Xenopus tropicalis: one gene and its partner. Each later gene encodes a partner of the first gene's protein in a complex. Links are inferred from orthologs where the notes say so. Each region holds a gene or a part of one and is shown on either strand. Other genes may lie near its edges.

Evidence for each region.
Region 2: the proteins of dkk1 (region 1) and lrp6 are in contact, whole or in part, in a crystal structure (PDB 3S8V), measured with the Homo sapiens proteins. The link is inferred for Xenopus tropicalis from reciprocal best matches to the Homo sapiens genes DKK1 and LRP6. Residues at the interface, in NP_036374.1 of Homo sapiens: Glu185, His204, Phe205, Trp206, Ile209, Gln218, Val219, Thr221, Arg224, Arg225, Ser228, Gly230, Leu231, Glu232, Ile233, Phe234, Arg236, Ser258, Leu260; in NP_001401174.1 of Homo sapiens: Arg639, Glu663, Ser665, Ile681, Tyr706, Glu708, Thr724, Arg751, Trp767, Gly768, Gly769, Pro771, Val790, Gly791, Arg792, Asp811, Thr812, Asn813, Leu814, Pro833, His834, Phe836, Trp850, Ser851, Tyr875, Met877, Arg1184.

What each region holds. Positions count from the first base shown.
Region 1 is NC_030683.2:13,839,886-13,856,643, reverse strand, and holds dkk1 (dickkopf-related protein 1 precursor), read right to left. Parts: upstream 10,527-16,758; 5' UTR 10,381-10,526; coding exon 10,171-10,380; intron 8,786-10,170; coding exon 8,632-8,785; intron 7,539-8,631; coding exon 7,386-7,538; intron 6,497-7,385; coding exon 6,240-6,496; 3' UTR 5,808-6,239; downstream 1-5,807. UniProt on the Homo sapiens protein: Antagonizes canonical Wnt signaling by inhibiting LRP5/6 interaction with Wnt and by forming a ternary complex with the transmembrane protein KREMEN that promotes internalization of LRP5/6.
Region 2 is NC_030679.2:8,209,077-8,225,193, reverse strand, and holds the end of lrp6 (low-density lipoprotein receptor-related protein 6), read left to right. Parts: intron 1-944; coding exon 945-1,271; intron 1,272-1,566; coding exon 1,567-1,766; intron 1,767-2,340; coding exon 2,341-2,552; intron 2,553-3,485; coding exon 3,486-3,676; intron 3,677-3,963; coding exon 3,964-4,173; intron 4,174-4,356; coding exon 4,357-4,485; intron 4,486-6,513; coding exon 6,514-6,750; intron 6,751-7,366; coding exon 7,367-7,477; intron 7,478-8,239; coding exon 8,240-8,470; intron 8,471-9,905; coding exon 9,906-10,042; intron 10,043-10,139; coding exon 10,140-10,237; intron 10,238-11,574; coding exon 11,575-11,866; 3' UTR 11,867-14,769; downstream 14,770-16,117. UniProt on the Homo sapiens protein: Component of the Wnt-Fzd-LRP5-LRP6 complex that triggers beta-catenin signaling through inducing aggregation of receptor-ligand complexes into ribosome-sized signalosomes.

The DNA of each region.
Region 1 (16,758 bases):
TTGTACTGGTGGTGTACTGGTGGTGTACTGGTGTTGTACTGGGGGTGTACTGGTGTTTTACTGGCAGGGTACTGGTGTTGTACTGGTGGTGTACTGGTGTTTTACTGGCAGGGTACTGGTGTTGTACTGGTGGTGTAGTGGCAGTGTACTGGTGGTGTAGTGGTGTTGTACTGGTGGTGTACAGGTTTTGTACTGGTGGGGTACTGGTGTTGTACCGGTGGTGTAGTGGCGGTGTACTGGCGTTGAACTGGCGGTGTACAGGTTTTGTACTGGCATTGTACTGGTGGTGTGGTGGTAGTGTACTGGAGTTAAACTGGTGGTGTACAGGTTTTGTAGTGGTGGGGTACTGGCATTGTACTGGTGGTGTACAGATTTTGTACTGGTGTTATACTGGTGGTGTACTGGTGTTGTACTGGTGGTGTAGTGGTGGTGTACTGGCAGTGTACTGGTGGTGTACTGGCGGTGTACTGGTGTTGTATTGGTGGTGTACTGGTGGTATACTGGTGTTGTACTAGCGGCGTACTGGTGTTTTACTTGTGGTGTACTGGTGTTGTATTAGTGGTGTACTGGCGTTTTACTGGTGGTGTACTGGTGTTGTAGTGGACATCTCACCTCAGACTTAGTGTCCTGGAATCATAAGGCTGAGACAAGAAGACAAGTGCTCCCAATTGTCCCCATACACAGTGCCCCCCATAGACAGTGTCCGCCATACACAGTGCCCCCCGAAGATGGTCTTCTTTGCCTTCTTCTTTGGCTTTGGTGGCTTCTTTGGGCCCTATTATAAGGTTGCGCCCCGTATGTACTGATGTCACACATACGCACAGGGAGCGACCAATCGGGTTGGATTATGGATGACAGGGCCTGTAATAGATTAAAGGTGAAGAGTGCCCGGACCTGGAACAACTGTCTCCCCTGTGCCCCCCTGTGCCCCCCTGGTGGCAACCCTCAGTTTGGGAAGCCCTTATTTAGATTGTCCCGTTGCGGATTAGTTACTATCATCGGCTGGAATGGGCTATAAAGGGTTTTATTCCCGACGGAGCTATGTATCAATATTGATACATCTGGTTATCACCATAGCGATGCTCAGCAGTCTAATCCCCTATATTAATGCGCACTCACAATAAAGTGACAGCCTGGCAAACATCATTCCTTTTGATCAGTCTCTTTCAAGCCAATGGCCATTGTGCGACTCCTGAAAGGGAAGACCCCCGAGTATTTCCTTTTCCAGGATGTCGGAGTCCAATTGAAATCACAACCCGCGCTCGGGGCCCTTTTCTGACTGCCAAAGGGAAAGAGAGACCTCACTTTGCTGCTTTTTGTTCCAATTCTCAGCGAGAGATCAAATGACGGCGGCTGCAAACGGAAATATCTCCTTTATTGAGGGTGCAGGACATGAGGGTTTTTTGTTTCCATTGTGTATCTTTTTTTTTTCCTGGGACGGCGGCCCCAGATAATCTATGAGACGGCCCGGGCTGGAAGCTAGAGAGGACAAAAGCCCCGAGACACAGGAGGAGAAAGGGAGAGTGTCGCGTCTTGCATGGCCAGCCGCTAACAAAAGCCAAGGGAACGTCTTCACTTCCTAAGCCATGAAAGGAGAATTCCCCCCGGGGACAGACTGGGCCCTTCAGCCATTCATGTTCTATCACTCATTGGCTGGCTGGGCATGATGGGAGATAAAGTTTGGCAATAGTGATGGGCGAAATGTTTTGCCAGGCATGGACTCGAGACAAATTTCCGCATTTCGCCATTGGCGGATTGTTCCGCAAAGCGGATGAAAAAATTTGTCGCCCGCAACAAAAGAATAGCCGTGCGACAAAAAAATAGCCGCGGGTGACAAAAGAATAGCCGTGTGACAAAAAAATAGCCGCGGGTGACAAAAGAATAGCCGTGCGACAAAAAAATAGCCGCGGGTGACAAAAGAATAGCCGTGTGACAAAAAAATAGCCGCGGGTGACAAAAGAATAGCCGTGCGACAAAAAAATAGCCGCGGGTGACAAAAGAATAGCCTTGCGACAAAAAAATAGCCATGGGTGACAAAAGAATAGCCTTGCGACAAAAAAATAGCCATGGGTGACAAAAGAATAGCCTTGCGACAATAAAATAGCCACGGGTGACAAAAGAATAGCCTTGCGACAAAAAAATAGCCACAGGTGACAAAAGAATAGCCTTGCGACAAAAAAATAGCCGCGGGTGACAAAAGAATAGCCTTGCGACAAAAAAATAGCCGCGGGTGACAAAAGAATAGCCGTGCGACAAAAAAATAGCCGCGGGTGACAAAAGAATAGCCGCGGGCAACAAAAGAATAGCCGCGGGCGACAAAAGAATAGCCTTGCGACAAAAAAATAGCCATGGGCAACAAATTTTGGGCGACATTTTTTTTTTTGACGTGCAACACTTTCGCCGTTTCGCGAATCTTTTGAAAGATTCGCAAATTTTTCGGCGAAGCGAAACGGGACAGATTCGCTCATCACTATTTGGCAACAGTTTCCCTTTGGACTGTCGGGTCCCCTTGGCCTATAATATACCAGCCATATAGAATCTAATGGTAAAGTTAAATAGTGATGAGCAGATTGTTTTGCCAGGTATGGATTTGCGGCAAAATTTCTCATTTCGCCATTGGCGAATTGTTTCACAAAACATCTGTAAAAACGGCACGAAAATTAGTGGCGTCAAAAAAGCCGCAGTCGCAGCAAAGTAGGCGCGCTGGTGGCACAATAATTGCGCACGTCATAAAAAAAACACAAGCATCAAAATTGTCACGTAGTTTCGCAAATTTCTTGCCGTTGTGTGCATTTTTTGTAGTTTTGTCAATTTTACAGTAACATTTTTGAGTTTCGTGAATTTCATACAATTCACGAAACTACAAAAAAATGCGCGCAACGGCAAAAAAGTTGCAAAACGGTGGAAAATTCATTGAGACTACGTGACAATTTTGATGCGTGTGATTTTTTTTTTACACGTGCAACATTTGTGACGCAAGCACGCCTACTTTGATGCGACTGCGCCTTTTTTGACGCGCCCACTAATCCCTCACCTGAGTGAATCTGTCCTATTTCGCCATAAAATTCACGAAACTGCTCAAAAAATCACGAAACATAGGAAAATTTGCGAAACGCACAAAATTACGTGTGCCAAAAAAAATTGTAACGTACGGCTGTTTATATTTTCTGCACTACTGGTTCTGACTCTTGAACCAATGTAGCAGCAGCCGGCTGAACCCCATCCGTTGCACAGAGAGGGATAAACAAATGCTGCTTCCAATGCTGCAATTAATGTATATTGGAAAGATGATTAGAATTCCACGTTCTTTCATTATACAAAGCTGTTTTGGGGTGGAATTTCCCCTTTAGGCAGCGATAAGCAGAATGGCATTCAGTATTCCTTTGTTCTTCCTGCCATCCAATAGAGTGGCAAGAGTGTTACCTGTGCAGGCTGCAGCACGTACACAAGTTGGGGGGGTGCAATTGGAGATGGAGCAAAAGAGTATGGGGGCAGGGTCAGACTGGGTCGCCGGGACACCGGGAAAAATCCAGGACCCTTTGCCGACGCTCCCCCTGCCCGACAGCTCCTCCCAGATGCGTTAAATTTATGCGCTCGGGGGAGGACATTGGGTGGGGGGCCCTGCGCGGGGGGTTAGGGGGGCCCCTGCGGGGGGGCGGGGGCTCCTGCAGGGCCCCTGGGGCGGGAGCCCCAGTGGGCACTTCACCCCTCAGTCCGACCCTGTATGGGGGTGTACTGGGCAAGCTGGGGGGGGGGGGGGCAGGAACGTGTTATGTTGTTCAGGCCAAACTGCAGGGAGGAGTCTGAGGGGGGAAAGTGCCCCCTTTTCAGGGCTTTTTCATATTCATATCCTGGTGTTACTGCCCCTTAAAGGGTGAAGACACACTGGGCTACTAGTAGCAGCTACTTGTCACGGCTACTTAACTCCAGAAAATCCCCTGCCATAGACAATACTGAGAATTGCCTCTGCTAAAACACACGTAGAGACAATTATCAGTAAACGATCAGCATTGTCTGTTTTAGTAGCCACGACAAGTAGCTGCTACTAGTAGCTCCGTGTGTCTTCACCCTAGTACCTGCGATGCTGTACCCCCCATATTCAGTGAGAGGATCCTGCACCGTGTAGTTCTTTATAAACCCCAATGTGCAGTGAGTAGGAAACCAGTGGCTCAGTTTGGCCGCTCCGGCCCGGGGCTTAGGCTGCCGTTTCATTCGTTTAAGCCTTTAATGAGATCTAAGTTGGGAGGCAGATAATGGATTGACTTTAGTATTATCCCTTATGTTAGATTAGGCTTCAAAGGGCCTGATTATCTGTTCAATAACTGCCGTCATTACAGCCTCACTGGCGACACTGTATGAATCAGTATAGATAAAACCTGTCGCTTTTCTGCTCCTCCAATGAAATATTAGCATTTGGCCCTCGTTGTTTCATTTAAGGGTGAAGACACACTGAGCTACTAGTAGCAGCTACTTTTCCATGACTACTAAACTCCAGAAATTCCCCTGCCATAGACAATACTGAGAATTGCCTCTGCTAAAACACACAGGCAATTATCAGTAAATGATCAGCATTGTCAATTTTAGTAGCCACGACAAGTAGCTGCTACTAGTAGCTCCGTGTGTCTTCACCCTAAAGGTTACATGACTTCTATCTGCCTAGCAACCAGCTAAAACACACACAAACATATATATATGTGCGTGTGTTTTAGGGCTCTGGCACACGGGGAGATGGCACCCTGTTCGCGGGCGACTAATCTCCCCGAGTTGCTATCAGTTGTCATCCCACTGGCGAAAATGTAAGTCACCGGTGGGATGGCACACACGGCAGCGCGATTTCAGCAAATCGACGAAAATGCCTCGCGAGGCAACTTCGACGATTTGCCGAAATCGCCTGCGTATTGTGTGCCATCCCACCGGTGACTTACATTTTCGCCAGTGGGATGACAACTGATAGCAACTCGGGGAGATTAGTCGCCCGCGAACAGGGAGATTTGTCGCGGGCGACTAATCTCCCCGTGTGCCAGAGCCCTAAGGGTAAAGACACACTGAGTTTCTAGTAGCAGCTACTTTTCCATGACTACTAAATGCCAGAAATTCCCTGCCATAGACAATACTGACAATTGCCTCCGCTAAAACACACGTAGAGACAATTATCAATAAATGATCAGCATTATCTATTTTAGTACGACAAGTAGCTGCTACTAGTAGCTCTGTGTGTCTTCACCCTAAAGGTTACATAACTCCTATCTGCCTAGCAACCAGCTAAAACACACATATATAGTTAGCAATATAAATGTTGGCCTAGTTAAAGATATAATAACCAATGCAGATTTTCATTAAAGGGGAAGTAAACCCTATTTTCAATTAGGGTAGTTCTCTGGCTACTTTCCCTAACAGACTGCTGAAAGGGAGTTCCCCCATACCAGGTCCTAAAATGTAGAGTTGCCCCGTGGGTCAACTCTGATAGGTAGCCCCCCCCCCCCATACAAGGTCCTAAAATGCAGAGTCGCCTCGTGGGTCACCATGTCTGGACGTCATATCCTTTCAAAGCTTCTCTGGAGCTCCGACCGCTATGGACCTCTGCCCAGGAACAAGCAAACTGGAAACCAGCAATGGAGGCTGGGAAAGGAAGTGATGCAACCGGCATGGTGGCCACCAATCATGCTGCACAGGGGTCCTCTTGTGTAGCATGAGGTTTAGTTACCCTTTAATAAATAAGATATTTCCACCGCTAATAAATTTAAGCTATAAAGTTCTTATATTGTAAAATCCCCAAGGTCCAAATACTGCCACGTGCAAAAAAGAAATCGGTTTGGAAATGTTTTATTTCAATTAGAAATACAGACGTACTAGACGTTAAAATCTACATAATATTTATATAGATATATTTATATATAAACAGGGAAGAGCGAGTCGGAATGTACAAGGCGGCCGGTTACAATAGAGAGGATCATGTACATTTTCTATACACAGATATTTACAGCTGTTCATCATTATTAACCAATTTACAACACAGTAATTTACTGTAATTAGGAATTAATAAGAAGTTCCTATAAAAAAGAAACAAGTTGTGCAGCTCTGGGCTCGGGGGGGGGAGGGACCAGAGCACTTCATGTAAACTGATACGCCCCCAAAGGCAGAGCGACCAATGTCCTTATTAGCGGCCAATGTCCTTATTAGCGGCCAATGTCCTTATTAGCTTAATTTAGAGAAGGTCCTTCAGGCTCTGCAGGCCTCACTTAGTGTCTCTGGCAAGTGTGAAGTCTCGAGGTCTTAGGGACGGTCGTAAACTCTCCCTTCTGTAACCGACAGGAGAGTCCGGCGCCGCAGTGGCAACGCTGGAAGATCTCCAGCCCGTGGGAGCCTTTCCTCCTGTGCTTGGTGCACACTTGGCCTTCCTCAAGCACCGGCTTGCAGATCTTCGACCAGAAGTGACGGGCGCAGCATAGACCTGGGGCGCAGTCGGTTGATCTGAGGCAGACGTCACCATCACGACCTGTTGGGCAGAAAAGAAAAAAATATTAGACATGATTATATGGATATTAATGGGCCACCATACCAAGATATATTGTATACTAGCCAATATAGGGAATAATGTACCCCCTACTATAAGTGATAAGGATATTAGAAGTCACTGAGGGGTTCTGTGCCCATATAAAGGCACAAGGCTGCAGGCTGAGTTATACAGGGAACTCTGAGTATCACTCATGTATTATAAGGGATAATGTACCCCCTACTGTAAATGATAAGGATATTAGCAGTCACTGAGGGGTTCTGTGCCCATATAAAGGCACAAGGCACAAGGCTGAATTATACAGGGAACTCTGAGTATCACTCATGTATTATAAGGGATAATGTACCCCCTACTGTAAATGATAAGGATATTAGCAGTCACTGAGGGGTTCTGTGCCCATATAAAGGCACAAGGCTGCAGGCTGAGTTATACAGGGAACTCTGAGTATCACTCATGTATTATAAGGGATAATGTACCCCCTACTGTAAATGATAAGGATATTAGCAGTCCCTGAGGGGTTCTGTGCCCCCCATATAAAGGCACAAGGCTGCAGGCTGAGTTATACAGGGAACTCTGAGTATCACTCATGTATTATAAGGGATAATGTACCCCATACTATAAATGATAAGGATATTAGCAGTCACTGAGGGGTTCTGTGCCCATATAAAGGCACAAGGCTAAGTGCTAACATTATAATGGTTTATAACAGGGGTGCATTTTTCTTTATAATACCAGTGACAACCCTACGCACAGAATTTATTGCATGGTCCCTAAATGCTTTCTATACTCATTGCTGACATTAAACCCACATATAATAACCACGTTCTACAGACCCAGCACTCTATAGCCGCGTATCAGCCAACAGGCTTACCTTTAAAGGGCTGCATTCCCGAAGGGGACGTGGTTAATTTTGAATGCGTATCCATTGTTGCGTGATCGGCGTTATAGTTTTCCAGAATGGTTTCCTCCAGGTATCCCTGCTGCTGGAAGCGCTCTTGATCTTGCTCCACGGGGACACATATTCCTAAAGGGGGGGGGAAAGATGAGTTTAGATGAGTGCAAGCCCCCCGCTCCGAGCCACCGAACCTCTTTCAATACCTATTCACATAATGCAATCACCTGCAGCCCCTTAAACGATGCAGGACAAGGAGACAGTGGGAATTAGTGATGCCCTAGTGAGCCCCATAGAGCGCCCAAACAATAGGCGACCTACATGCTCAGCAGGGCAGGCAAAGCTAACCTACAATTGCCCAGGCCGGGGGCCATTACCGATTGTAATGCTAATCGGAACCTCTGGGTTGTACTGGTTTTAAGAGAAAACCCTCATGTTGCCTGACATTGTCATCAATTAAGGGGGCAACGCCATGTAGACGTGAAATGGGGGGGGGCTTTTGATGTCAATTAGCGAGGCATTACTTTCAACGTCAGGGTAGATGGAGGCGGCGTACACCTCGCGGTTCTTTTCATGTCGCTTATAAACAAATGCCATTATGTAATGACGTGGGCTAATTGTGCTCAGGGAAAAAAAAAAAAGACTTTGATCAGAACTTGACAGCTGCTGGAGTGGCTTAAAGTCGGAATTTCACCTTGTACTTTAGCAGCAAGTACATCAAGACAGACTAATGACATGTGGGGGTTGTCAGTGTGGCAGACAATTAGGCAGATGAGCTTTGCTCCGGATCATTTAGTTACCCTTTAACTGCTAGTAAAGGTGTCTGTCACCCGTACAAATCGCATACGGTCATGAAAAGATTTGCAGTTGGTCTTATTTTTTTTTTTGCATTTTTGAAAAGTTTATTTTAGTTTATGTTACTATAGTAACAATAAACATCTAGGTGATCATTAAAAAGCTACTAAGGCAAAACTTCCCCTTGGGCACAGGATCACAGTATAAATTATAAAATGTCATTATGGGACAACGGAGTCTACTTAGTCCCAATGAATAACATTTTAATGTTCTGTAAATGGAGAAATAAATCCTTGGGATGGGATTTGAACCTATAAAATTACTTGTGCCATAGAAAGAAATATATCACGGAATCAAGTATTGAGACCATCATCCTACCCCCCCCCCCCCCACCCCAAAGGCCATGACAGTGGTAACAAAAGCCCCTTACCGTTGCTACAGTAGTTGCCGGTGCAGCACATTGCGTCCCTCAGGCAGCGCTTGCGGCGTTTCCGGCATGCCAAGCAGACCAGGGAGTTGCCATTTCTGGAACTGTGGCAGAACTCATCCAGGGCACAGTCGTCATCTTCTGTGCAACCGTAGAGCTGGGGGGGAAACAAGAGGAACAGGTACTTTAGGGTGGGGGGGTATCAGGATATGTATTGCTCCAGTGCAAACACAGGTGTGTATCCAAAATATGGCAATAAAGGGCAACTAAAGCCCTATGAGAGGTGGGGGAAATGAAGCTTTCAAAAAATAACAGTATACTGTGGGGAGATCACAGAATAATACAGGAAAATGACAGAATGTGTGACCAAAAAAAACAGGGGAATGACAGAATGATAAAGGGAAACAATCACAGAATGATACAGGGGAATGAAAGTATGGAAATCACAAACCAATACAGAGTATTTTAGGCAAACATGGAATGATAATGGGCAATGACAGATGAAAAACACAAGGAGAAGATTATACAGAATAGTATCAGGAGCAATCACAAAATTATAGAAGGAGATGACAGAATGCTGTAGGAAAAACCACAGAATGCTTTTCTGTCACTACACATGAGCCAATCAGCTGAGCTGACAGCCCTTGCATCACTAGAGCAGCCTTCCCCTTCTGGCTTGCACCCCAGCTAGCATGTAAGGGTTAAACACCAACTGTCAACTATATTCCTAACAGTCAGTTCCGACTGTCACCCTCACTGCTCAATACAGTTGTTTAACAAGGTAGAGATGGAACAGTAACACTATACTCTTTCATAGACAGAGATAGATAGATAGATGATAGATAGATGATAGATAGATGATAGATAGATAGATAGATAGATGATAGATAGATAGATAGATAGATAGATAGATAGATAGATAGATAGATAGATAGATAGATAGATAGATAGATAGATAGATAGATAGATAGATAGATAGATATGGATAGATGATAGATAGATAGATAGATATGGATAGATGATAGATAGATAGATAGATAGATAGATAGATAGATAGATAGATGATAGATAGATAGATAGATAGATAGATAGATAGATAGATAGATAGATAGATAGATAGATAGATATGGATAGATAGATAGATAGATAGATAGATAGATAGATGATAGATAGATAGATAGATAGATAGATAGATAGATAGATGATAGATAGATAGATAGATAGATAGATAGATAGATAGATATAGATAGATAATATAGTAAAGACAGTTAGACACAACCAGAGGCTCTGAAAAACATTGCGAAATGGAAAGGCTATACAATGTATCAAACTATTACGCATTTGACAACGTTTCGGGCGCATCATCTAAACTGTATGCAGAGCCCTACAGTATCTATACCCATAGGAATAAAAGTTGATTTCCCTGATGAGAAGAATAAGAATGACCCCCATCCTTCCAGCCCAACGTTTCGGACCCCCATCCTTGCAACCCAAGAGGCAAGAAGCATCTGACGCCGGACTTTACGCTTTATGGCCACTTACCGGGTAGGCATCCAAAGGTTGGTATTTGTTGGCAATATCATATAAGGAGTCCGGACTGACACTGACAGGGTAGTAGCCAATGGGTTGCCCAGCCGGGGCCGCTGGGACGTTCTTGATGGAGTTGGAGTTGGTCATCATGACAAAGCCAAGTGCCCCATCCAAGATAAACCCCCCCAAGGCAAAAAGAAGCATCAGGAACATCTCGTCCATTCCTCTGTCCCAGTAACCAATAACGGCAGGATAAGTCCTCCGGGGATAAGTCCCTTGGGTGCTGCTGAAGACTTGGGTGCTGCTGATGGCTAGGGTGCTTGGGTGCTGCTGAAGGCTTGGGTGCAGCGCCGGTTGTGACTGCTGCGCTCCGTGCTCAGTTCTGGAGAAGCCGCCGAGGCGCAGCGGTATTTATAGCGCAGGGTTTGTTTGCGCACACGCCCCTCCGCTCAGAACAACAAAAGCCAAGGAATTGGGATTTCAAAGCCCTGGGATTTATGACGCTCCGGCAAAGCTTAAATCACAGGGCAGACTGGCAGCCAGGGATTTCACAATAATTGTAATTATCAATTAATTCTTTTTTTTTTTCTTTTGCAAGATCACACAGGGCTTCCTGCAGAAGGGATTGCGCAAGCCATAAGGATAAATGAGGGAAAGCCTTCATATTTTATCCTATTATCGCATCAGCGGCGTAATCGTGATTTTATATGGTTACAGGTACTGGGGTGTGTAACTGGGATCGATCCCCTGTCCTGTGTTACACTGCTGGCCCTTATAGGCACTGGGGGTAAATGTGGCCCCTAGGATTAAATGAACTTTTTAAACTGCTTTGATTCACCTGATTTATTCAAAAGGGACTGGTATATAACAAGTTGCCCAAGGAATGGTCTGTAGCCATGTAGGGTGCTGAATACATGGGGCCCTCCCTGCAGATATTTGGCAGTACATGGTTATTGAATTTGACATTTTAGGTGGCCCAAATAGGTTGCGCTGCTGGGGGCCACACTGAGCTGCAGTTGTCAGTAGGAGGAGATAGGGTATAGTAGGAGTTGAGGGCAGGGTACCTACAAGAAGGCAATATATATGGTAGAGATAGGGCAATATGGTGGTAGTAGGGCAAGATGGTAGCCATAGGGCAATATGGTGGTAGAAGGGCAAGATGGTAGCCATAGGGCAATATGGTGGTAGAAGGGCAAGATGGTAGCCATAGGGCAATATGGTGGTAGTATGGCAAGATGGTAGCCATAGGGCAATATGGTGGTAGTATGGCAAGATGGTAGCCATAGGGCAATATTGTGGTAGTGGGGCAAGATGGCAGCAATAGGGCAATATGGTGCCAGTAGAGCAAGATGATAACTGTAGGACAAGATGGTAGTGATAGGGCAATATGGTGGTAGTAGGGCAAGATGGTAGTGATAGGGAAATATGGTGGTAGAAGGTCAAGATGGTAGTGATAGGGAAATATGGTGGTAGAAGGGCAAGATGGTAGTGATAGGGCAATATGGTGGTAGTATGGCAAGATGGCAGCAATAGGGCAATATGGTGGTAGTGGGGCAAGATGGCAGCAATAGGGCAATATGGTGCCAGTAGAGCAAGATGATAACTGTAGGACAAGATGGTAGTGATAGGGCAATATGGTGATAGTAGGGCAAGATGGTAGTGATAGGGGAATATGGTGGTAGAAGGGCAAGATGGTAGTGATAGGGCAATACGGTGGTAGTAGGGCAAGATGGTAGTGATAGGGCAATACGGTGGTAGTAGGGCAAGATGGTAGTGATAGGGCAATATGGTGGTAGTAGGGCAAGATGGTAGTGATAGGGCAATATGGTGGTAGTAGGGCAAGATGGTAGTGATAGGGCAATATGGTGGTAGTAGGGCAAGATGGTAGTGATAGGGAAATATGGTGGTAGTATGGCAAGATAGTAGTGATAGGGCAATATGGTGGTAGTAGGGCAAGATGGTAGTAATAGGGCAATATGGTGGTAGTAGGGCAAGATGGTAGTGATAGGGCAATATGGTGGTAGTATGGCAAGATAGTAGTGATAGGGCAATATGGTGCCAGTAGGACAAGATAATAGCTGTACGACAAGATGGTAGCAATAGGGCAATACGGTGGTAGCAGGGCAAGATGGTACTGATAGGGCAATATGGTGGTAGAAGGGCAAAATGACAAGATGACATGGCAAGATAGGAGCAGAATGATAAAATGGTGATAATAGGAGCTGCACTGGGGCAGAGACTGGTGTGAATGGTGTATAATCTCTATAAAGGAATAGAGCAGCACTATATATATGAAGAATAAAACAAGAGATGAAGTAAATGTACGGACACATAACAAATAAAAAAGGTGTCTGGGGCAGAAAAGGATTCGGGATCATCAAATATTGATTATATTAGCCAAGATCAATTAGTGGCTGCACTGAACAAAAGGTGTCGGGCTTCTGTGTCCCCCCCTTCTAACGGCCTCAGCCCAGACACAGGCACAATCAGATGGTGATAATGGGCCGCTGGTCATTAGCTCCTCGCATCTTGATTGGCTGCAGTGATAAATACTCAGTGCCCAAGTGATTACTGTGGCCGCCATCTTGCTTCCTCAGGTGCATTGATCACTCTGTGCATGTATGGGGGCATTGGTCAGGGGGAGACTTCATAGATAGATCAGTTGTTGTGCCAGGGGGTCTCAAATTGCCCCCTTTGGGGGGAAACAGTCACCTGTTGGGGGTGATGGAGACTTTAAAGATGAGCCCCCACATGGGCACTAATGACAATGGGCCTATGACTATTTTACATTTATCAATGCTGTTTTAGTATCAGTTTTCCCTGCAGAAACCTCTACCTTGAAATGGTTAATACCCCTTTTTAACATAACAAGTATTTGTGTATTGGGTGTGGGAGCCTATCCCATGATACCCAGTAACTCTGGGAAAATGTCTCTTAGCCCCATAATAATGAACCTCTGATTGCTGGCTGGGAATGCTGGGAATTGTAGTTCCCAACAAGGTCCTGTATTAATGAATTATATAGAAACTTTCATATATGAGAGCAAGGATTCAGGTGCTGCCTCTGTTTTATTACATGTCCGGTGGAAAATGTAAGCTCTGTGGGCCAGCAATTCAATGTAACTATACACCGTGGCAAAAAGGGTTCGAAATATATTTATATATAAGATTAAATTCAATAGAGTTCAGTTATAATGCAGTTAATTTAACCAGCATGCCTGCTTTTATGTAATGAAGGTCATGATAAATAAATAGTATATATATATTTATATATATATAAATACACAGTATATATATAGCCGTCAGTATATTCTAGGCAGAATACTTCCCTTCCCAGCGGCTCTTCATTTATAGCTGCCTTGGAATGTCATCAGTGTGACCCCTAGTGGTCGAATTAGTAATATGCCTGGACCATAACTAATACTTTGAAAGTACAGAGTGATGAAAAGTTCCAGTCATTAGTGAAGGAATGCCATTAACTCTTTAGTTGCCAGAAACCCTCAATTCCAGAAACAATTCCACAAGATTACAAGCACAAAAATGCAGTTTGATCTTTCAGTTCCAACGTACTATTACTGTATTAGGGGAGGGGTAATCATAGAGTGAAATCAAGAGCTTCAACTGTCTCATGTATTTGGGTGTTTTCATTTTTGTAGAAACATTGGGGTAACAGCCACCCTGCTATAGTTCCAGGGGTACCCAGGGCACAAATAAGCACTCACCCCAAATCCCCCCCTAACTGGCCTTCAGGCTGGGCCCCCTTAGCCCATAACAAGGTTACAGATATATAGAAACATTGGGGTAACAGTCACCCTGCTATAGTTCCAGGGGTACCCAGGGCACAAATAAGCACTCACCCCAAATCCTCCCCTAACTGGCCTTCAGGCTGGGCCCCCTTAGCCCATAACAAGGTTACAGATATATAGAAACATTGGGGTAACAGTCACCCTGCTATAGTTCCAGGGGTACCCAGGGCACAAATAAGCACTCACCCCAAATCCCCCCCTAACTGGCCTTCAGGCTGGGCCCCCTTAGCCCATAACAAGGTTACAGATATATGGAAACATTGGGGTAACAGTCACCCTGCTATAGTTCCAGGGGTACCCAGGGCACAAATAAGCACTCACCCCAAATCCCCCCTAACCGGCCTTCAGGCTGGGCCCCCTTAGCCCATAACAAGGTTACAGATATATAGAAACATTGGGGTAACAGTCACCCCGCTATAGTTCCAGGGGTACCCAGGGCACAAATAAGCACTCACCCCAAATCCCCCCTAACTGGCCTTCAGGCTGGGCCCCCTTAGCCCATAACAAGGTTACAGATATATAGAAACATTGGGGTAACACTCACCCCGCTATAGTTCCAGGGGTACCCAGGGCACAAATAAGCACTCACCCCAAATCCCCCCCTAACTGGCCTTCAGGCTGGGCCCCCTTAGCCCATAACAAGGTTACAGATATATAGAAACATTGGGGTAACAGTCACCCTGCTATAGTTCCAGGGGTACCCAGGGCAGATAATACTCTAATGCACATTATTAGGCCAATAGTGGGGGCAGTTTTGGTTTTAACAGGGGAATTTCCATTACCCTATTTATCCGGGGCAGGGAGATAGGGTCAGCACAGGGCAGATTCATAGTGAGAGAGTTCGAGGAGGAACGGCCTATTGCAATTAAAGGAAAATAAGGGCCACATAGCACAGAACGGTGTCTCCATTTAATGCGTACAGGACACAAACAAACACAGAGATGCTCCTATTTATCAGCGGCTGCTGCCGGGGTTATTATTATTCTGTGCAACAAGAAGACATGTATTTCCACACTTCAAAAAGCTGCCCTGCCGAATTTTTGGCATTCTCTGTCTATAACCTCAAATTTGAGTCATTAGCCAGGCACCGACGCTTCCCGATGTGAGGCCCAGATAAGCATTCATGTTTCCCTTATTAGTGCTCTCTCCCCGGCACAATAGCTGCGTGTCACCTACAAAGTGCGGCGTGGGTGCACACATCAAAGGGGGCCTCCCCAGCATTACTGGGCCCAAAACTATGCACCCTATGCACCCAATGCACCCTATGCAAACAAATAAGGGCTGGGGTCCGTGTGTCATATCCTTGGGCAGCGTTACATAAGAAAAAAATAATCATTTTAAAGGGGGACTCCACCCAAAACGATCAATCGAAAGCGATATCTATCCGCCTGGTCTCTGCATTGCTGGGTCTGACTACTGAAACAATGTAGCCGAAGCCGCTAATAAAAATACCTGGAGGAGAGCTGAGTTCTGCTACATTGGTTCAGTAGTCAGAGCCAGCAATGCAGAGAACAGAAAGGGATAAACGCAGTTACATTCTAAGTAATCAATGTATATTGGAAGGTTGCCGGAAAACATATGAAGGTATATTCTGTATATTAGTCTTTCCCATAGATAGGGTTGAATTGGGCCGGCCAGGTTAGGACTGGGGGGTGAAGGGCCCCCCACCCAACGTCCTCGCCCAAGCTCGTAAATTTAACGCGTCAGGGGAGGAGAGGTTGGGCAGAGTTAGCGCCGGCAAGGGTAAGGTCTGGGCTTTGGGGCATTTTTCCCGGTGTCCCAGCGGCCCAGTCCGACCCTGGGGCCGGCAGAAAAATCCCAGTGGGTCCCGGCGCTTTTGGGTCCCTCTGGCCCAGAACTGATCCCTGCTGGGTGCTCCGGGGCCTGCAAGTCCCCCTCTCCCGACGCACCTTAGTATGTGCTCTTGGGGAGAGGGTTGGGTGGGAGGTAGGTAGAGGCCCGGGGGTGTATGTGGGGGCCACAACAGGGGTCCTTGGGGGGGGTGCGGGGCCCCTGGGGCTGCAGCTCCCCAACTTGAGCAGGGGAAGATACAAAAGTGACAATCAATGCACAAAGCTCCATAGGCAAAATGGGCCCCAAGCTTATCATGAAACGATCATTTAAAAGTACAATTTGTCTATCAATGAAAAATGACCATTTCCAGCGATATCGTCAAATGGGGGTCACTGACGCCAACATAAAAAAAAACAAATGCCCGCTAAGGCTACAAGTTTACTGTCATTGCTACTTTTTATCACTGATTTTTATGTTAAAGCCCTCTCCTGTCTGTAATTCAGACCCTCATTTAAATCACTGCCTGGTTGCTAAGGTCATTTGGACCCTAGCAACCAAATAGCTGCTGAAATCCCAAACTGATGAGCTGCTGAATATAAAGCTAAATAACTCAAAACCCACAAATAATAAAAAATGAAAAACAGTTGCAAATTGGGGACCCCCAAAGGGTGCAATTAGGGGTGCAATTTGTATACTCAAGCACTTATGCCTGTTGCGTTGGTTAATGAGGGTATGAAGAAGGGACCCTGAAGAAGGTAAGTACCATGGGGTAATGGTTGGACACTTCTGTAGGAATAAGCTCCAAGAAGGGGATAGGTAGGCAAGATATAAATAACAGACTATGAGGGTGATGTAATAAAAGACGCTATGTTTGCCCAGGTGCAGTAACCTATAGCAACCAATCAGCAGGTAGCATTAAGGATGAAGACACACAGAGCTACTAGTAGCAGCTACTTGTTGTGGCTACTAAACAGACAATGCCGATCATTTACTGATAATTG
Region 2 (16,117 bases), on another chromosome or scaffold:
AAAGAAAGTTACAAGTGCTAATAGTGTTGATTATAAAAAACATTTAATTACTACTCACAAGCGTGATTTTAAAAAAAGCTTATTGGGCAAATAGCCTTTTTCCAATCTGCTGGATCCGGTTACATATACTTATCAGTGTTCATACAGCGATGTCGCCAAGCGAGTGGATCTTCTCCCAATATCCCCACCTACGGGTGGGTGATATTGGGCTATTTCGGTCATTTGTCCCTGGGGCCAAACCATCGAATTAGAACAGCTGGTATAGGCGTCCGTCGGTTCGGGGACCCCATCAACAAGTCCCCGACGAAAAATCCTTCCTTTTTAGTGGCAGAAGTTAACTCCAGTAATAACCAATAAAAATACAAGCCATACCTAATGAAGCAAATAAATAAATGCAACAAATCAAATATCACATAACACTATCTAGCCCGTATTTTATACCAGCTATTAACATACCTTATTCCTAATTCTAAAACACATGGGTTTCCATTCTATCATTTAACCCATTAGGTGTTGGTTTGTCCAAATAGAAAATCCAAAAATTGACACGATGCTCTCATTCTGTCTTATAACTATCTGTAATTCTTACCGTACCGCTTTAAAATTTATGGGAACGGATTATTTTTCTTCCCCTTTTTAATGGCTTTTATATGTTATTAAATAGTTAAGTAGCCAAAATATAGCCTGTTGCTGACTAGTACTAGTAGTAGTAGTAGTAGTAGTTCTGGGTCAGCCATATACCCCATAAATGGGTCAGTAGGCATTCTTAATTGCCCACCTTTTGTTTATCAATGCTCTGTCATTGTTGCCTATTCTGTTTGGCCTTAGAGAAGGCCAAACACCACTGATCCTATACTTAATAATTCTATAATTTTGTTAAATGATCATGCCACATGTATTCAGCTGAAATGTTGCCTTTAGTAATCATGCTCTTGTGCTCTTAGGGTTGGACCGGGTAGTGATTGCCGACGACTTGCCCCACCCCTTTGGGTTAACCCAGTACCAGGACTATATCTACTGGACAGACTGGAGCCAACGGAGTATTGAGAGAGCCAACAAGACCAGCGGGCAGAATCGGACCATGATCCAGAATGACCTGGACTACGTCATGGACATCCTAGTATTTCACTCTTCCCGGCAGGCCGGTTGGAACGAGTGTGCCTCCAGCAATGGTCACTGTTCTCATCTATGCTTGGCCACACCTGTCAGCGGCTATACCTGTGGGTGCCCGGTACACCACTCGTTGAATGCGGACAACAAAACCTGCAGTCGTAAGTCAAGCATATTCTGTGGCTGGCTTTGGGGGTGGTGGGGGGGTTATTGTGATGAAATGCTGGGCTGATACACGTCCCTGCCCTGCTGCATGACCCAAGATCTCCAAAATGCCATTAAGGAGACTGAGCAGTGTAGTAAAAGTATATAATATATATATATCTCTATATAGCCATATATATTGATAATATATAGATAATATCTCTCTAGTAGATGGAATATTTAAAATCATAATGTATTGTCGTGAAATACGCATCAATCTAAAGAAAACTAATGGGGTTTTGTGTGTTTCAGCTCCAAGTTCCTTCCTGCTCTTCAGTCAGAAAAATGCCATAAACCGCATGGTGATCGATGAGCAGCAGAGTCCCGACATCATCCTGCCCATTCACAACCTACGCAACGTCCGAGCCATCGACTACGACCCTTTGGAGAAGCAGCTCTACTGGATTGACTCGCGGCAGAATATACGCCGGGCTCAGGAAGATGGCAGCCAGGTACAATTAGCCTCAATTGGGCTTTATTTTATTTAATTGTTTAGCTTTTTGTCTGGTTGCTAGGGTCCAGTGGCCCCCCAAGATCATTTACCCAGCCCTGCTGCGTCCTCAACCATGGCTATTACCTGTCTGACCAGTCCTCAGCCCCAGGGTGTCGCGTCCAACGTAATTAGAGTTGGCCGGTGCGACTCCAGACAGGTAGTAGCCAGGGGTGAAGACACAGCGGGGCGCAGGGGCCGAGGGCTGGAGTTTGAGGACTGAATATAGTCTGGCCCCCCAACAGACTGAGTGACTATGGACTGGCCCCCGGTTTAAAAAGTTTGAGGACCCATGATCTAGAACATCATGAGTTTAAACACCTTATGAGTCACATGGCTTTCTCCCATCTGTATATTGTATATATGTATATATGTGTTGTAAAGAATGTTCGGCATTGTGTCTTCATATGATTAGCTTGTGTATCACAAGGGTTATGGATATGGGACATCAGCAGGTTTCAGTCTGCATCATAAGCTGCACAAATAACACTGATACTAACAACATCCTTTTATTCTTTACCTGTCCCTTTTCACAGAGCATGACCGTAGTGGCAAGCACCGTCCCCAACCAGAATATAGACATGCAGCCGTACGATTTGAGCATCGATGTCTACAGTCGCCTGATTTACTGGACCTGCGAAGCCACCAATGTCATCAACGTCACGCGGCTGGACGGGAGAGCCATCGGGGTGGTTCTAAAGGGAGAACAAGACCGTCCCAGAGCTATCCTTGTGAATCCAGAGAGAGGGTAGGAAATACAGAACTTTATCTACGCATAGTTTATTCTTTTTCCCTGATCTACAATCAGGTCTGTGGTGGTGGGTACCTACAGAACCACCCACAAGATGGTTTGTTTTGGGGCACAGCTGCACTCACCCGCAATTTTCTGTGGTGCAAAGTCTTCTAGATGTATGGCAACGCCCCAACAATGTATAGAACAAAGCAGAAATAGAGACTGCACTCAAGCAAAATTTCAGCTGAGGAGCTTACCCCATTGCCAATGTACCATAAAAATAATCAACGTTTCGGGGTGGGGGGGCGCTCCCTCCCTTCGTCAGCATAACCACAGTTTTTTAAAAAGTCAGATACAAAAAAGACCAATATAAATAAATAAATATAAATTTCTGCAGAAGTCCGTTCTTACAGTATAAATGTCAGTTGTTTGTGAAAAAGTTCAGCCATGGTCGGACTGGGCCACCGGGACACCGGTAAAAATCCCGGTGGGCCCCAGCGGCCCAGACCCAACCCTTGTGGCGCTCCCCCTGCACGACCGCTCCTGTCCCCACGTGTTAAATTTACGCGCTCGGGGAAGAACGTCAGGTGGGGGAACCTGCGAGGGGGGTTAGGGGGGCCCCTCCAGGGGGGGGGAGGCTATGGGCGTTGGCCATATGGGCAGGCTATGGGCACGGGCCCCGGTGGGCCCTTCACCCCCCAGTCCGACCCTGAGTTCAGCACCCTGAGTTCAAAAACAAAAAATGACCAATATAAATTTGTCTGTTTTGGGGCAGATCTGCCTTGATTTCCTGACTGTGTGGGTAGTTTCTTTGCTTATGGAGTTGGGATATGGTGTATAATTTGAAAAAATTAAATATTGTGAACCATTTACACTTCCAGGTTAATGGGCCGGTAGGGGTTCTGAACCAGCTTTGCATTGAAACTCCCATTTGCTTTGATCTTCTAGGTACATGTATTTCACCAACCTCCAGGAGCGATCGCCAAAAATCGAAAGAGCTGCTCTTGATGGGACAGAGCGAGAGGTGCTGTTTTTCACCGGCCTGAGCAAACCAGTGGCGCTTGCGCTCGACAACAAAATGGGGAAACTTTTCTGGGCCGACTCTGACTTGAGGAGGATCGAAAGCAGTGACCTATCCGGTAAAGTGCGAGAATAGCGAATTTATAGGACTAAAACTGAAAATGACAGTTATGAGTTCTAGTATGGTTCCGTTCTGTGGTCTAGTACCAACTTAATGGGAAAGTAAGAATGCTGTGTGATTTTAATCACATGCTTTCCGTTTGGATAGAGTGATTCCTACTTCATTCATTGTTCCAAGTGCATTTATTACATATTTTTTTTGCATACCTAGTTTTGATCGTTACAGTAAAATGGCCTTTAATTATGTTATTGGTCAACGCTTACACTGCTCTCTGGTACTTTCCAGGTGGCCATCGCATAGTTCTAGAAGATTCTAACGTGCTGCAGCCAGTCGGACTCACTGTTTTTGGCAATCACCTGTATTGGATTGACCGGCAACAACAAATGATTGAGCGCATTGAGAAAACCGGACGCGTGGGTCGCACCAAGATCCAAGCTCGTATCCCTCTGCTGACTGATATCCATGCTGTGACAGAACTGAGCATGGACGAATACAGTTAGTATCCACTTATTAATACTAATTTCCTTTTCTGTAGATACGTTTTGGAGTTGCTAAGCAACAACCACTTCAAATATTAGAATTATTTAGTAAAATTACAAATCTTGGGGTATTAAGCTTTGAAATTTGGAATCATGGCCTTGTTTTCTCATTGTTCTTTTCCCTTTTCTGTTTTAACAGAGGAACACCCTTGTTCCCAGGATAACGGGGGCTGCTCCCACATCTGCATAGTGAAAGGAGATGGAACCACCCGCTGTTCTTGCCCGATGCACCTTGTCCTTCTGCAGGAAGATGAGTTGTCCTGTGGGGGTGAGTGCTGTGTAGATTTATTTTGTATTACTGCTAATCATATATATATAGAATCTCAGCCATAAAGCAGGGCAGGACTGCTGCTTACAATGGGGGGATCAGATAGGATCTGTGCCACTGTGACAGAATGTTCTGTTATACAGATAGCTAGAATCTCAGCCATAAAGCAGGGCAGGACTGCTGCTTACAATGGGGGGATCAGATAGGATCTGTGCCACTGTGACAGAATGCTCTGTTATACAGATAGCTAGAATCTCAGCCATAAAGCAGGGCAGGACTGCTGCTTACAATGGGGGGATCAGATAGGATCTGTGCCACTGTGACAGAATGCTCTGTTATACAGATAGCTAGAATCTCAGCCATAAAGCAGGGCAGGACTGCTGCTTACAATGGGGGGATCAGATAGGGTCTGTGCCACTGTGACAGAATGCTCTGTTATACAGATAGCTAGAATCTCAGCCATAAAGCAGGGCAGGACTGCTGCTTACAATGGGGGGGATCAGATAGGATCTGTGCCACTGTGACAGAATGCTCTGTTATACAGATAGCTAGAATCTCAGCCATAAAGCAGGGCAGGACTGCTGCTTACAATGGGGGGGGGATCAGATAGGATCTGTGCCACTGTGACAGAATGCTCTGTTATACAGATAGCTAGAATCTCAGCCATAAAGCAGGGCAGGACTGCTGCTTACAATGGGGGGGATCAGATAGGATCTGTGCCACTGTGACAGAATGCTCTGTTATACAGATAGCTAGAATCTCAGCCATAAAGCAGGGCAGGACTGCTGCTTACAATGGGGGGGGATCAGATAGGATCTGTGCCACTGTGACAGAATGCTCTGTTATACAGATAGCTAGAATCTCAGCCATAAAGCAGGGCAGGACTGCTGCTTACAATGGGGGGATCAGATAGGATCTGTGCCACTGTGACAGAATGCTCTGTTATACAGATAGCTAGAATCTCAGCCATAAAGCAGGGCAGGACTGCTGCTTACAATGGGGGGATCAGATAGGATCTGTGCCACTGTGACAGAATGCTCTGTTATACAGATAGCTAGAATCTCAGCCATAAAGCAGGGCAGGACTGCTGCTTACAATGGGGGGGGATCAGATAGGATCTGTGCCACTGTGACAGAATGCTTTGTTATACAGATAGCTAGAATCTCAGCCATAAAGCAGGGCAGGACTGCTGCTTACAATGGGGGAATCAGATAGGATCTGTGCCACTGTGACAGAATGCTCTGTTATACAGATAGCTAGAATGTCAGCCATAAAGCAGGGCAGGACTGCTGCTTACAATGGGGGGATCAGATAGGATCTGTGCCACTGTGACAGAATGCTCTGTTATACAGATAGCTAGAATCTCAGCCATAAAGCAGGGCAGGACTGCTGCTTACAATGGGGGGATCAGATAGGATCTGTGCCACTGTGACAGAATGCTCTGTTATACAGATAGCTAGAATCTCAGCCATAAAGCAGGGCAGGACTGCTGCTTACAATGAGGACCCTCAAAGCTATACAACCCCATGATACTGTGTTCTTTTCTGATTCCACTGCCAGAGGCTTCTGTTGTAACCGGCCGGCTCTTCGCCCTGGGTCACATTTGCTCTATTTTGCTTGTAGGTTACTAGAGGTCAGAGCACTCAATGAAAGTCATTGTTTGTGTAACAGAATATTAGTGCCTGTGCTAGGCCATTAAGGGATTAGATTCTGTCTGTTATAGTATTCAGGCCATACGGTAACTGCAAAAACACACCCTGTTTGTTTTTATATAAGGTTTGTCTTCTGGTTTCTTTCATTGATACAAAATTGGGTACAGGGTATTGCTACTATACGCAGAATTACCCAGAGAAAGCATGTGTGTGCATTTCCGCTTTCTGACACTGCCATCTAGTGGTTACAATTGGGACATCCAATCCTGTGGCTATATTTTGATTTTTTTTATGTGTCTATTCTTTGCGTATATCTAGATGTACCCTAAAATGTTATTAAGTGGGTATAACATAATTTCCTTTATTTTCCCCACAGAGCCTCCTACCTGCTCTCCCCTGCAGTTCACCTGTTTCACCGGCGAGGTTGATTGCATCCCGGCGGAATGGCGCTGCGACGGCTTTACAGAATGCGAGGATCACAGCGACGAGCAGAACTGCCCCATGTGCTCGGACACGCAGTACCAGTGCGCCAGCGGCCAGTGCATTGACTCCTCTCTGCGCTGTAACGGAGAAGCCAACTGTCAGGACAAGTCTGATGAGAAAAACTGCAATGGTACGGGCTTGCTTCTGAAAATGGTTTTATTCAGACATTCATTTGTTGGTGTTTGAATCCCCCCCCTTATATGCATTGAAGAGTTTGTGAAAGCACTCTTAAAAGAGGCCTGTTGGGAAAAGAAAGTGGGGTTCATTTATTAACACTGGGCAAATTTGCCCATGGGCATTAGCTCATGGCAACCAATGAAATTGTTGCATTCATTGTTGTATATGCAGCTGGCTGAAAAAAGCCAGTCACTGATTGGTCGCTATGGGTTACTACCCACGGGCAAATTTGCCCAGTGTTGATAAATGAGCCCCAGTGTCTTTTAGGGTGAAGACGCACGGAGCTACTAGTAGCATCTACTTGTCGTGGCTACTAAAATAGACAATGCTGATCATTTACTGATAATTGTCTGTACTTGTGTTTTAGCAGAGGCAATTCTCAGTATTGTCTATGGCAGGGGATTTTCTGGCTTTTAGTAGCCATGGCAAGTAGCTGCTACTAAGTAGCTCTGTGTGTCTTTACCCCTAAGGTACCAGTGATGTGAAATGAATAAGCTAAGTTGACACACTGAACCAGTCAATTATGAAGGCTGCTAATAATGAAGATGCTTTTTCTGGTCTTTCTGCAGAAGTCTGTGCTCCAGACCAGTTCCACTGTGGCAGCGGACAGTGCATCGGGAAGCACAGGCGTTGTGACCTCAGCCCGGACTGCAGTGACAGCTCAGACGAGCAAGCTTGCTGTAAGTGCTGCTATTATAACTGCTGGCCTAAGTTTCAGTAATAAAGTTGTCAGCAAAAAGTCATATAGTGTGTGTGTTCTGTTACAAACCTGGCATGTCACATTCGGGGTCCTGCAGAGATTTGGGACTTGTATTTAAGGGTGAAGAGACACGGAGCTAATGTAGCAGCTACTTGTCGTGGCTACTAAAACAGACAATGCTGATCATTTACTGATAATTGTCTCTACGTGTGTTTTAGCAGAGGCAATTCTCAGTATTGTCTATGGCAGGGTATTTTCTGGGGTTTAGTAGCCGTGACAAGTAGCTGCTACTAAGTAGCTGTGTGTCTTTACCCTAAAAGTTGCATGGGAGTCTCAAGCTTGCCATTGCACTTTAGCACCCCTGAAGGGTGAAGACACCCAGTAGCCCTAGTAGCAGCTACTTGTCGTGGCTACTAAAATAGACAATGCTGATCATTTACTGATAACTGTCTCTACATGTGTTTTAGCAGAGGCAATCCTCTGTATTGTCTATGGCAGGGGATTTTCTGGTGCTTAGTAGGTGTGAAAAAGTAGCTGCTTCTAGTAGCTCTGTGTGTCTTCACCCTTTAGATGTTGATGTGCAACTATCAGCATCAGCCAAATATTGCCATGATATTCTGGGAGTTGTATTTGAACCTTTGCCTTGATGCAAGCTGTGCATACCTCTCCTAATCTGCAAGGCTAAAGGCTCTCTCCAGGCCTACTCTTCAACTCTCCACACAATTTATTTTACATTTTCCAGATCCCACAGAGGAACCACCTCCTCCATCGACCAACACCATCGGCTCCATCATCGGCGTGATCCTCACCGTATTCGTAGTAGGGGGAGTGTATTTTATCTGTCAGCGAGTGCTGTGTCGTCGCATGAAAGGAGACGGGGAGACCATGGCCAACGATTATGTGGTGCATGGACCCGCCTCCGTCCCCTTAGCATACGTGCCACATCCGAGCTCCCTGACTGGATCCTTGCCTGGTGAGTACAGAGCCGGTGACTCCAGCACCAAAATGCCTGCTGTTTATTTTCCAAGATGGTACTCTTTCCATTTAGATACAATAAATATAATGCTGAATGCTCTTGTACAGGTATAGGACCTGTTATCCAGAATGCTCGAGACCAAGGGTATTCCGGATAAGGGGTCTTTCCGTAATTTGTATCTTCATACCTTAAGACTACTAAAAAAATCAATAAAACATAAATTAAACACAATAGGATTGTTCTGCCCCCAATAAGGGGTAATTATATCTTAGTTGGGATCAAGTACAGGTACTGTTTTATTATTACAGAGAAAAGGGAATCATTTAACCATTAAATAAACCCAATAGGGCTGTTCTGCCCCAATAAGGGGTAATTATATCTTAGTTGGGATCAAGTACAGGTACTGTTTTATTATTACAGAGAAAAGGGAATCATTTAACCATTAAATAAACCCAATAGGACTGTTCTGCCCCAATAAGGGGTAATTATATCTTAGTTGGGATCAAGTACAGGTACTGTTTTATTATTACAGAGAAAAGGGAATCATTTAACCATTAAATAAACCCAATAGGGCTGTTCTGCCCCAATAAGGGGTAATTATATCTTAGTTGGGATCAAGTACAGGTACTGTTTTATTATTACAGAGAAAAGGGAATCATTTAACCATTAAATAAACCCAATAGGGCTGTTCTGCCCCAATAAGGGGTAATTATATCTTAGTTGGGATCAAGTACAGGTACTGTTTTATTATTACAGAGAAAAAGGAAATCCGTTTCAAATTTCTAAATTATTATGATTAAAATGGAGTCTATGGGAGACCGGATTTCCATAATTTGGAGCTTTCTGGATAACAGGTTAAGGGATCCCATGCCTGTATTGACTGCCAGTCCATGCAGGAACCTGCTTGTAATGGATCATTTCCTCCACTCGCAGGTTTTTTTGTTATGAGGCCTTTCATGTGGTTTTGTGCATTCTCCAGCTCACATACAAAGTTAAACAGAAATAAATCTAGGGGTGGGGATAAAAAAAAAAAAGATCCCCTGCAGCTTGGCTCCTTGCGATGATTCCTTCTCGCCCCTTTGTTGTGGGGTTTTTATCCTCCCGCTGCCTTTAATGCGAGGATGCAGCAAAGTTTCCAGTTCTTCTATTAAACAGCGAGAGCATCTTGTTGCATTGTGTGCGCAGCAGTGTCATGTAACAGCTGCGGGCCATTGTGGGAAGAGATCACAGAGCTGTACTTTCCATGGGCCATTCATTAGTAGAAAGCCATTAAACTCTGTTGAAACCAGCTTAAGTAACAGGGATCCAACCGCTGCGCCAGATGAGGGTGAAATACAAAGGGGTGTTGCAGTTTAACAATGCAGTGATGAATCATTTCTAAGGTCTGCTGATGCAGAAAGCACTTATCTAAGCACTCTCTTGCTTAACACAGGGATGTCTCGTGGGAAATCTGTTATCAGCTCTCTCAGCATTATGGCTGGAAGCAGCGGGCCACCGTATGACCGGGCTCATGTGACCGGAGCCTCATCCAGCAGCTCCTCCAGCACTAAAGGAACCTATTTCCCACCGGTAGGTATCCAGCTGCCGTGTTTCCTACCCCATACGGTGTTTATACATAAACAGAAGATGTTCCATAAACCTGAATATTCTTTTCCTTTGGTTATAGATCTTGAACCCACCTCCCTCCCCAGCCACGGAGCGTTCCCATTACACAATGGAATTTGGTTACTCCTCAAACAGTCCTTCCACCCACAGATCATACAGGTGAGTGCATTTTTTACTCCAGTCCCCCCCCCACAGTATCTAGAAGGCCCTGCTGTAGGCTGCTACTAGAGAGGGACTTTTTTTCTACAACTGGCTGCTTCTTTGTTGCTGGGGCAGTCTCAGCTCAGCTTGGGGCTATTCATATATATATCTAAGTCCCTGTGTGTTTCGAGCACTAACAGTGCTCTTCTTCAGGGAAAAAACAGTTTTTCCCTGAAGAAGAGCGCCGTTAGTGCTTGAAACGTCGGATCTTTTTCAATAAATACTTTTTTTTTTTTTTTTTTTTTTTTTGCAAAGTCCCAGTGTGTGCGGCCCTCTGCTTTTGCCAGCACCCAGGGATTTGGATTCTCTGGATGGTGTGCTCCGTTTGTTCCTGTGTATATATACACAAACGATCGAGTTGTAACGACCGTGGGAGTGAATCCAAAACATGTGTATTGGAGACACACTGTGCACTACCCCATGTGTATTGGAGACACACTGTGCACTACCCCATGTGTATTGGAGACACACTGTGCACTACCCCATGTGTATTGGACACACACTGTGCACTCCCCCATGTGTATTGGAGACACACTGTGCACTACCCCATGTGTATTGGAGACACACTGTGCACTACCCCATGTGTATTGGACACACACTGTGCACTCCCCCATGTGTATTGGAGACACACTGTGCACTCCCCCATGTGTATTGGAGACACACTGTGCACTACCCCATGTGTATTGGACACACACTGTGCACTACCCCATGTGTATTGGAGACACACTGTGCACTCCCCCATGTGTATTGGAGACACACTGTGCACTCCCCCATGTGTATTGGACACACACTGTGCACTACCCCATGTGTATTGGAGACACACTGTGCACTACCCCATGTGTATTGGACACACACTGTGCACTACCCCACATCACATAAGGTCCCCATACACCTTAAGACGCCAAGCGAGCGGATCTTCTCCCGATATACCCCACCTACGGGTGGGCGATATCGGGAGAATCCGGGCTAATTTGATTGTTTGGCACTGGGGCCAAACAATCAAATTATAACGACGGGTATAGGCAAAGTCGGTTCAGGGACTGCATCAGCGAGCCGATGCGGTCCTCGATCCGACTAAAGTTTTAAACCTGCCCGATTTCAGGCCAGATATCAGTCAGACAGGCCCGTCGTTAGTGCCCCTACACGGGGCGATAAACTGCCGAATCGGTCTAAGGGACCCATATCGGCAGCTAGAATCGGCCTGTGTATGGGGACCTTAACATGTCAAAATCATTATATTCCTGGGGATAAAAAGCAGTCTGCTATATTTCCTAATGTTTCTCTTTCTTCCTCAGCTACAGACCCTACAGCTACCGGCATTTTGCCCCTCCTACAACTCCCTGCAGCACCGACGTGTGCGACAGCGACTACACCCCCAGCCACCGGATCACCTCCGCCGCGGCGAAGGGCTACACCAGCGATCTCAACTACGACTCGGAACCGGTGCCTCCGCCTCCAACCCCCCGCAGCCAGTACCTTTCAGCCGAGGAGAACTACGAAAGCTGCCCGCCCTCTCCCTACACGGAACGAAGCTACTCTCACCACCTTTACCCCCCTCCTCCGTCACCTTGTACAGACTCTTCCTGAGACCCCCCCACTCTGTAAATACTGTATGAAGAGAGAGTACTTTCCCAATCTAACCCCCCGGCCCCCGTTGTGTATAGTTTCCAGAACCATGAACCCCTCCAGAGGAGGGCAGAAGGGTCTCCGACAATGGACGTTTGTACAGAGACGATAAAAAAAAAAACAACAAATATTTATATTTTCTTAACCCTTTTTACACCTCTTCATACTTGTGCCATAAATGTAACGCTTATATTTCCATCCTTCCCCGGAAAGGGCAATCCCCTTGCCTTTTTGTGTGGAAGAAATCCCATGACCACTGAAACAGTAATTTGTACAAATATATATATATATATATATATCTCTATATAAATATCTATTTTTGCAAATGGAATACACAAAATGCCTTAAATAGACGGATAGGATAGGAAGAGGTCTTTAATACCAAAAAAAAAAAAAAATGCACGTGAGCACAGACCAGCGGATTTTAGAGAATGGTTCTTAATTGTTTTTATTTTTTTTTTAACCCTTTCTTTCCTCCATTCGACTGGTGCCAAGCTTAGGCGCAGAGCAAGCCTGCCCCCTCTTGGCGGTTATGGGGATAACATGGAATCTCTGCTACATGAAAGCCCAGTAGCTTCACTGGTCCCTTATCCCACCATATTAAATTACATTTTACTCCAGCTGCCCCTTAAAAGCCTGTATGCCTGCCCTGTATCCAGGTATCAATATACCTGGATACAGGGCAGACATACAGGCTTGTACTGTGGCTATATGGGAGTGCATCAAGCTGACTTGGGCTTGTATAATTGATTGAGTGGCAACAATAATTGTTTAATTTGTGTATTTTATTTTATGATTTTATCTTTGACTTGAGGGCCAAAGAAGGTTGCTAGAAAGATTTTTTAGCAGCCAGCCGTTTGATTCTTCCCCCCCCGACCACGTAACCACTACAGTGTAGCCGTACCACTACCACAAAGCGCTACCGATACCACTAAACCGCCCCAAGGGGGCGCTACTGGGAAGACAATAGAGGTGATCGTGTCTTCATTATCAGTTCATCACCAAAGTAGTTTTTTTTTATTTTATTTAACCTTCCTACTGCTAGATGCGGGCTAGCGGCCTCTGGCAGCAGAAGGGTTAAGTCTGTTTTTATCTTTGTTTTATACTGTATTGTATTTATAAAACGTAATTGTAACTTGTGGGGTATTTTTTTTTTTTTTTTTTTAACTTCCATTTTTGTTTATGGAGAATATATCCTTGCAGTACTTTGACGTAATTAACTACCACTATACAGGGTTCATGCACTTTCTGTGCTGTTTTCTAGTAGCAGGGGCACTTGTTGTGCGACTGCAGCTCCCTGCGTGCCGTCGAAGGTCTGCCCTGGGGGGGCGGCGGGGTGCTTGAAGTTGCCCCTGGGCTTCATACCATTCCTTAAAGACACATAATGGCTCAGAAAGAAGTAAGCATGTGTCCTCTTTAATTTAAAGTGATAGCGACACCATTTATTAGCAATGTATCCTCTCACTAGTGTCTTAGTACTTGGGTTCTAGCCTGGGGGGGTCGGCATTTAGCCCACCCCCCCAAGCACGACTTCATGTAGTGAGACATAGGGGGGTAGCCGACGCAGGTCCATAAAGGGGTGCAACTGGATGGTTTATTAAAGGGATAGTGGCCCATTTCTACTGTGGAAACGGCTCATAATCCCTTTAAAGGTGAGAACTGTATTAGTTTAGTACAAGGACTGTTCATAGGGGCCATTTTAGTTCCATAGGCAGTTTAAACACCAATCATTCAGCTATTGGACAGAGGGGTTTTTATGTTGATGTGCCCCTTTAATTGGATAGTTTTTTAATTTTATAAAATGTCCCGGTCTAAGCAACTTTTCAGTTCTTCATTTTTTTAAATGGATTGCATTCCTTATTCCAGGTTTCAAATGGGGGGGTCACTGGCCCCCGGCAGCCAAAAAGCTATTTCTCCGAGAGGCCCCACAGTCTTATCGTTATTATTTTTCATTCCTTATGTTCTCTCCTATTCACTGCCTGGTTGCTAAGGGTAAACAACACCCTAGCAACCAGAGAGCTGCTTGAACCTAAAGTGAAATAATTGCACATTATCGCAGTCTACGTCATACGAGGGGTTAATTTTAAGGTGAACTAACCACATTGCTTAGAATTTGACTTTCACGGTTGTTTTAAACGGAACCATTTCCCACATGCCCCCTTGATTGAGGAGGAGCCATGGGGTGGGAGGAGCTAAATGCTTCTATAGGGATGCTCGGTGCAACCTTCCGACTGGCGGGGCAGTGTGTAAATGAAATGTGTTTTTTATTGTTCTTTAATGGTAGGTACCCCCCCCACAGCTGCAATGTGGTACATTCCGCCCCTCGCTGGTGCATTCAACTCTGTACCTTTAAGAGCAGGGCAGATTTCAGTCCCTTGAGTTTAATTGGGTGGCATGTACCTTTAATATAATAGAGACCAGTAAGTGCTGTGACTTTATGCTAAACTTTGGGGGTCCTATGCCCCCCCCAGCAGAACATTGACACCCCCCCCCGCGTTATACCCCCCCCCCCCCCCGATCTGTACAGTTCTTACAAAGTGAAGGAAACACTATATCCCTGTGGTTTTTATATTGTTCTACGCCCCCCCCCAGCTCCATTTGTCCTGCCAACCGGTACGACAGATATTGCACAAAGGGTATGTATTATTGTGTAACGGCCAACATTTGGCCAGCTCAGAGCCACTAGCAACACGATTTCATTTGTATGTAAAATAAGTGCTTTACTTTATAAGCTGTGTATAATAAAAAATGACCATGTAAAAAAAAAAAAACAATATTTCATAATTACTATTACCTTGCGTTGTAACGGAAAAGAAAAAAATTTGATTTTTATAATAAAACAAAACGGCAAAAATTTAAATTCACCCGTTGGGTTTGTTTTTGTTTTTTTAAAAAAATGTCAAGGAAAAAATATTGGTCCTATGCAAAAAGGTAAGTAATCCACAGTCCCTATGGTGCACACTAGGGGGCAGTATTTTCAGGCTGGCTACCGGTTTATAAGGGGGCACTGCTGGGCTGGCTACCAGTGTATTAGGGGGGCACTGCTGGGCTGGCTACCAGTGGATTAGGGGGGCACTGCTGGGCAGCTACCAGTGTATTAGGGGGCCCCTGCTGGGCAGCTACCAGTGTATTAGGGGGGCACTGCTGGGCTGGCTACCAGTGTATTAGGGGGCACTGCTGGGCTGGCTACCAATGTATTAGGGGCACTGCTGGGCTGGCTACCAATGTATTAGGGGCACTGCTGGGCTGGCTACCAATGTATTAGGGGCACTGCTGGGCTGGCTACCAATGTATTAGGGGGGCACTGCTGGGCTGGCTACCAGTGTATTAGGGGGGCACTGCTGGGCTGGCTACCAGTGTATTAGGGGGCACTGCTGGGCTGGCTACCAATGTATTAGGGGCACTGCTGGGCTGGCTACCAGTGTATTAGGGGGCACTGCTGGGCTGGCTACCAGTGTATTAGGGGGGCACTGCTGGGCTGGCTACCAGTGAATTAGGGGGCACTGCTGGGCAGCTACCAGTGTATTAGGGGGGCACTGCTGGGCAGCTACCAGTGTATTAGGGGGCACTGCTGGGCTGGCTACCAATGTATTAGGGGCACTGCTGGGCTGGCTACCAATGTATTAGGGGGCACTGCTGGGCTGGCTGCCAATGTATAAGGGGGGACCCAAAGATGATGTCGGAGGAGCCGAAAAAGACGCCAGGGGTGGGGCACTGCTGGCTGGGCTGGCTACCAATGTATAAGGGGGGCACTGCTGGCTACCAATGTATTAGGGGGGCACTGCTGGCTGCCAATGTATAAGGGGGCACTGCTGGCTACCAATGTACTAGGGGGGCACTGCTGGCTACCAATGTACTAGGGGGGGCACTGCTGGCTACCAATGTACTAGGGGGCACTGCTGGCTACCAATGTACTAGGGGGGCACTGCTGGCTACCAATGTACAAGGGGGGCACTGCTGGCTACCAATGTACTAGCAGCCTACATGTCTGGGGGGGTAACTGCTTGTTGAAACATCTGAATCAGGTGCCGCTTTATGGACACTGGCATTTGCCCATGGGACTTCATTTCCCAGCATGCCTCACCTGCCGGATTTCCGGGTTTTGTACGTCGGTGCATGCGCAGCAGCCTTTAGCTTTGACACAGCGAGATGTAATGAAATCCAATCCCTTGTGGGAACGCCCTCCGCTCCGCAATTGGTCGGTGGGCGTTC